Linked DNA regions of Arabidopsis thaliana. The protein of the gene in region 1 interacts with the protein of each later gene in a pairwise test. Each region holds a gene or a part of one and is shown on either strand. Other genes may lie near its edges.

The links.
Region 2: the proteins of ERF4 (region 1) and TCP11 interact in binary tests that used the Arabidopsis thaliana proteins (3 or more experiments, as listed by UniProt).

The regions. Positions count from the first base shown.
Region 1 is NC_003074.8:5,119,819-5,123,199, reverse strand, and holds ERF4 (ethylene responsive element binding factor 4), read right to left. Parts: upstream 1,779-3,381; 5' UTR 1,729-1,778; coding exon 1,060-1,728; 3' UTR 638-1,059; downstream 1-637.
Region 2 is NC_003076.8:2,678,349-2,682,107, reverse strand, and holds TCP11 (TCP family transcription factor), read right to left. Parts: upstream 1,708-3,759; 5' UTR 1,281-1,707; coding exon 561-1,280; 3' UTR 115-560; downstream 1-114. Other genes in the region: AT5G08320 (E2F-associated phosphoprotein), read right to left, coding at 3,505-3,759. UniProt on the Arabidopsis thaliana protein: Transcription factor involved in the regulation of the circadian clock. Acts as a repressor of CCA1 by binding to its promoter. No binding to the LHY promoter.

The sequences.
Region 1 (3,381 bases):
ATTCAACTCCGAATCAATTCAATGTCATAGTTTAAAGAAAATTAATTTTGCACTATAAGCTATATATTCTAAAAGCTTTCAGATAAAAAAAACCAATATCTAGACTAGTCATAGTTGTTTCTTTAGAGACTTTGTGTACTCTTTTTCCATTTTTTGCCGACAAAAATTTGTTTACGAAACTAGAGATCTTTCTTAAAAAAAATTGAACAAAATCTTATCTTTGTTTTGTGGCAGTTTCTTTTCCAAATTTAAGAATCTATCAAATTAAAAATCTAGGTTCTCTCTGTCAGACCTAAAGAGTGTTAACTCTCAGCTTCAAGACTCTTCCAAGTTAGCTAGAAAGAAAAGAAATGAGTATGTCCGTACTCTGTGAGTGGACCCTACTACTAAGTGACGTAAGCGCAAAGAATTTTCTAACTTACGCCGCAGAGAGCAAAACGAGGGCCCACACACGCCGGCTGCGTGTCTGCTGGAAACTTGGACCATTGTTAAAAGCCGACGATACTCAACTACCATTTTATTAATCTCACTTTGAATTTTAGTTTTTCTTATACTTCAACTTACAATTATTTTGTTTTGTCAAATAAGTAATTTTAGTCCCTTCAATTTTTTTAATTTGGTGGTAACGATAGAAAAGGAAAGCCAATAGAAGGAGCCGCCACAACCCACAAGTAGTAATAATCAAAATTTCGGAAATTGGATTGGACAAGATAATTCTGAAGATTACCAAATTATTGATTGAAAATTTGGAAGAACAAAAAAAAAAAAAGTAGTAAAAAAAATAGAGAAACAACATGGGGTGAAACCAAGTCGCAAAAAATTAAAAGCACACAACAAAAGTTCAGATCTCCGGTTATGTAATAATATGTACATAACGATCCATGTCAGCTAAAATTATATTTTTCTCTCTCAGATTTAATCTGTTTTTTCTTTCTAAAAACTGGTAATAAATTTAGACTGAGAGAGAGAGAGAGGAAAAACTATGAGAAAACGAATTTTCACAGCTCAAAAAGAAGAAGAAACGCATGCGCTTCGAATTGAAACGACACCGTTAAAAGCTCAGGCCTGTTCCGATGGAGGAGGCAAATTAAGATCTAGATCTAACAGCTGAGATCTCTTCTCCATCCCACCTTCGAAATCAACGACCGATGACGAATCAGAGTCGCTTTGGGCACCACAAGCCATCTTCGTCGCAACATGCACCACCGGCGATCTAAACGCCGATGTCACAGGAGGAGGCTGACCACGACCTACGTTACCGATCCCCATCAGGTCCAAAAAGTAGACAGGACGCGACATCGGGATCTGATAACACGAGCCGCCGCCTCCTCCGCCGAGACTAAGCTCGAGCTGCGGGGGAACATTCCCAGCCGTCGCTGAAGGCACAACTAACGTCGGAGGAGAAGCACAGTCGAGCGTGCTGCTCTGGCTAGGGCTACGCGCGAAACCGGTAGGGACCTTCTGGTCACTCAGCTCGAGAAAAGTTGGGAAATTGGTCTTAGCCTTAGCACCACGAAAATCACGCGCCGCCGTATCGTAAGCACGCGCCGCCTCTTCAGCCGTATCGAAAGTGCCAAGCCAGACGCGGGTTTTCTTGCCCGGATCTCGGATCTCGGCGGCATAACGGCCCCAAGGACGCTTCCTAACGCCTCTGTAACGAATCTCCTTGGCATTATTGTGGGTCTGGTTAGTAGTAGCCGGGTCGGGTTTCAAGCCCATCTTGGCCATTCTCGGATAGATAGATTAGAGAGAGAGTGGTGGTGTGATAGATAATTGAAGGGAGAAGAGGAAAGGAGAGAGTTGTTTATATATAGGATGGGAGAGAGAGTAAAAGCGACGCTCCTTTTGGGGCGCTTTGTTGTGAACAGTCAAAGCCTGAAATGGTTTTAGCGGCTTCTCTTACAAAACACCAGCGGTTTTCATGGTTTTCTTTTTTACCTCCACTTATCTTTTGCCACGTGTTTTTCTTTCCTCTTTCAAAGAATTTTGTTTTTCTTATCAACCCTTCATTTCTTTTTTAACCTCACCAAGCGTTTTCAATTTTTGTTGATCATCTTATTAATGAATTTATTGATGTATTTAAAAAGTTGAATACATTGTCAAAAATATAGATACAAATTAAATACATTAATTTGATTGACTTTAATTTTAAAATAAAACTTTTTATCACTGGATCTTTAATTTAATTATTAATATTTGGCAATGAGAAAATTAATTGGACTATGTAATCTTTGCATTAAAGTTCTTAATGAAATAAGGATAAATTTTGAAATATAGATCTTACTATGATACATATTTAATCAATCCGTATTTTGAATGATTTATTTTGTGGTGGAAAATATTGGATGCAAAGTCTTTTTTTTTTTTTTTTGTGTAAACTATTTTATCTAAAAAGTGAAATTCATTTGTTATCTGTATGTACAATGTACTAACAAACTTTTGATACAATTTGTAACAAAAAAACTAAAGAAATCCGTACAGTATTTGACGCATTTAATGGAGATGCATGTTGTTTGCTGTTTTGTCTACACAGCGTATTCCCTTGAATGCTGGTGATAAGATTTTGATTTTCATAACCGAGGGAATTAAGAATGTAATCCCACATCTTAATTTAATATATATAGTTAATCTAACTACGAATTGTCATGTGCCATTTACCCTCATGATTTAGGATATAACTACACAAGCTTGCTCTAGTGAGTACACTTGTAATGAACTCAGTTTGTTTTCTCATAACCTGTTGGATCAACCTTAATGCTTGCATAATTGAGAAAAAAACTTGAACAAATATGTGAGTAACTAATTTTTCAGATCATATCAATTTTGTTTTCGTATCTCAAAACTTTTGGTTTAAAAAATACCCAATTTTTTGTAAGACCAATAAACAACTAAAGATACTGTTATGTGTGTAAAAATTTGAAAATACAGGTAAATAAAGTCATACTATATGGCAGTGTGAGTTAAAGACAAGAGTAACTTCAAAAACTAGGAAATAAGTTAAGCAGCGGCGCCTGAAAAGAAGAGAGAAGAAGAAACCAAAGAACAGTATTGGATGACGCAAAAATGTAAAATACGTGGCAACACCTTGAGGACGCGCGGCTTGGGAACCGCGTTTCCATGTACGAGCGTGAATCTCACCGCCAAACACGTGCCGACGGCGATCGCGTGAAAGAAAGAGCGTTATGCGTGACTTCGTAGACTCAGCTCCAAATTCAACTTGGAGTTTGACTGCTTTTTCTTTCGCGGAATAAAACTAAAATAAAAACAAAAGGCTATTTAGCCGCCCCTCCGCCAAAGAAAAACAAAGATGGCCCACAACGCACTCGCTATTTAAATAAAATAGAAAGAGTTTTAAAGATGTATAGTGCCACGTGGTCAACG
Region 2 (3,759 bases), on another chromosome or scaffold:
TTTGTGTTTGAAGCTTACGATTATACTGCTCTGGATAGTGGATGGGCTTGTTATTAGTTTTAAAAGTTTTTGGTGGAACCTGAATTATCATCCGGACCGGCTCCGTTAACCCGAGTTCAAATTTGTTTCCTTTACTACGAAAGAGTAAATAGTGGGACAACTTCATTAACGAACGAACCATAATAGAATTCATGCTTAAAACTAACGGGACAACTTCAAATTTGTTTCTTTTGCTGTTTCTTTAGTTTTCTAAAGAGACTTGATTGAATGGCAATGATCACTAGTTAAACGACTTCTCTGTTTCGCTAGTAAAAACAGAGCTTTTATAGCGTTTTAGGTACAACAATCAATCAATCTCTCTCTCTTTCTATCACTCTCCGAAACAAATTAACGAGACCAAATATTCTTAAACCCTAAAACCCTAATCAAACAAGCAATAAGCTTAAATTAAGTAAAAAAGGAGCAAAAGAAACCGCAAATTAGAGGTACTTTCTAAACACTTTCGATGACATAAAACATAGGAATTTTTCTATACATTACCAAAAAGACAATACCATTTCTCAACGTGGTTCGTGGTCGTCTTCCCTCCGACCCGACCCGTTAGCTCCACCAGACAAAGAAGCAAGCAAATTGAGATGATGACCCGGAAGATAATTCCCAACTCTAGCTGCTGAAGCCTCACCCATTGCAGCTGCTGCGGCGGCGGAAGCTTGCTGTTGCTGCTGGTGGCGGACGAAGAGTGTAGCTGGTTGCTGCTGCTGCGCAAAAACCATTTCCGGTGGAGCTCCGGTTGCAAAGCTCCAGACTTGTCCGAAATCCGGCCTCGCCGGAACAGCCCAAAACCCACCAGAACCACCACCACCCATTAACGAAGTCCCCATTGTGTGTCCCACTGTTAACCCTCCTCCTCCTCCGCCGCCGGATTCTCCTTCCTCCGCTCTGACGACACGTTTCCCGAGAGTAAACGGAGAAGAAGTGGAGAGAGAAGCAGTGGAGAAACTCGCCGGAGTAGTGCCAGTTCCAGTGGCGGCTATGATAGAAGGCTCAGCTTGACGGAGAAGCCACTCTATGGTTTGACCATCGGACTTGTGACCTAACTCTCTGGTCAATTGAAAAACTCGAGCTGCGCAAATGATTGGCATACGAATCCTTCTTCCTCTTCCGTCAACTTTGCTGTGTCGATCTTTAGACGGTGGTTTCTTAACGGCGTTAAGAGGTCCTTTGTTTGACGTCTGCTCGACTATGATGCCGTTACTCACTGCTCCGTCGTTGTCGGCCATGGAATTAGGATTTCGTTATCACTATCTAACTCTCTCTCGAGGAGAAGAAGAAGAAGAAGAAGAAGAAGGAGGTAATGATTTGAGAGGAAGCTAGGCTGGTGGAGACAGGAAGGAGAGCACATGGCTGGTGGGGTCCCACACAGCTCACTTCTGCTAGGTTTTTTTAATTTGTCCGGACGCGGTTGAAGCTCACGCGCTTGACTCCGGTGTTGACTATAGCGTTGGACCACGGTCGGGCAGGAGAATTTAAGTTTTTAGGTTTAGGAGTTAGTTGGGGTCCCCATTTATATGGTTGCTTGAATTACATTAGCTAATTTACGAGTAATTAGGATTCGTAGAAAATAAGTAGCGTTACAAGAATAATATGAATTCGATTTTGGTTTTTACTAATTCTTATTACTTCTGTGACATGTAACCACAACAATGCTGATTTTTACCTTTATTTCTTATCGATAAAATTTGTTTTAGAATGAAGTAGTATATGTTTTATGCTTTGTAACCACAGTAATCATACACGTTTACCTCATGAGTTTAATGCATTTTATAGGATGTAGGGAAATTAGATTGCAATTAAGACAAAAGCTGTTTCCAGTTTCCACAATAGTTGAAAAGATGAGGAATAAGAGACAATCAATGGTGGTAATTGATTGGTGAGTATACTTTACACCTACACTGATTACGATTCTATTTTGTACGATTTTAATTTATTTATTTTTAGTCATTTATAATTTCACATCTACTAATTTGTGATTGTCTCTTATTTTTTATTTTTTATTTAACTTCTAGGATAAATAAATAGCTCAAATAAAAGAAATGACAATTACGCGCTTTATGACACAGGTTACTAATCTGAGTATAACCCAACCACTGTGACCCCCACACGATATGCGTTCGTGTGTGCAATTTGTATAATCAAAATTCTTATTACCCATTAAGCAATAATAAAACAAATCATTCCATTTGGAGCGTGGCATAATAAAAGTAGCCGTGCCCACCTGGCAGATATGCCGATTTTGATATGTCGTTGCGTCGAGATTTTTTAAATTGTTTCGCGACAATAATTTCTTTCATGATGAATATATAATGCACATTATACTATATTATCGTCTTAATATTTGTTATATGATTGTGAAATCCTTTAACAGAAATAATTGTTATGATGATTGCCGTACCCATACGATACAACCATGAGTGATGTTTAAATGCCTTTTTTTAAAAACTATACCCAAGCCAACTTCTTAAAGTTGTCGATATAATACGTGAAGGTGCTATCAAAAGCGATGAAAAGAATATTTTTGTGCATGCTTAAAGTATGATAGATAGTAAAAACTTGAAACTACGACGCACAGCTGAGGAACCACCAAACTAGAGACTCGTAGAGAAATTTTAGTCACATTTCGTAGCTACTTGCTAGGATTCAATTGAACTAGCTAGTTCTTAAAAGAAAACGTTGCCACAAAAGCTTACATACAAATTGTATGATACAATTGACAATTATTAATGACCGGCGCATGTTAAAAGTTATATTGAGTGATTAACTGGGATTTGAATGATTAGTTGTGGGGTTAGCTGGATAAATGCATAGAAATTTTTAATGATCACCAATTTACCAAAAATGCTTATAGTATATTCTAATCTTTTTATTTTATTTTAAAATAGTAATATGTGTACGAATCATTTGACAATTGTCAAATGTGTTAAACAGCTGGAGCCCATTCTCATCTGCCTTTATTTATTAATGGGAATTTGTATAGAATTATTAGTATGGGGGTTGGTGGACGAAAATACAAGAAAGTGACACTTCTGTCAAAAGAGAATCAACTCGTGTTTCATACAAATATCTTCTTTTCTAGTTTTCTCATTTGGCGATGCCTCTCTAGATTTTCTTAGCTTACTCCACCAATCAGAATAATCCACGTCATCTCGTTTTTTTAAACTGAGAGGATCGCTTTATCTTCTGCCATCTATTTGACTAGCGTGACTAAAAGACGTTCAGAGACCAACTCGCTTTGTAGTTTGTTGTATTTGGTATTTGTTTGATACTAAATTACTAATCATGTGAACTGTGAACGATTCTGACTTTGGTATAACTCAAAATTCTCTAGTGACTTGATTTTTATCAAACGATATACATGCAACGTAAAGATTAACGCAAACAATCGAAACTTTAATCCTAATCACCTGTTTAGAACTCGTTACAAATAACTCATAAAACCAGGTTGTTTTAAGGCTCGCTTGGAATGACATTAAAGAAATGGTAGATCTCTTCACTGTCAACTACTCCGATCTCTGTGGAACAAGCTGAGCAAAAGACCGGGTTAACTTTTTCGCTATCTTCAGAACCAGTTTCTTGCATCTCGGAATCTCTCCTTCTTTTACCAACCTTTAAGGGCATTGTATTCTGTTGCAAAACTGTGTCTGTACCTACTTTGCAATTGACCACAAAGACTGCTCTGTACTGTGTCACATACTGCTCGTG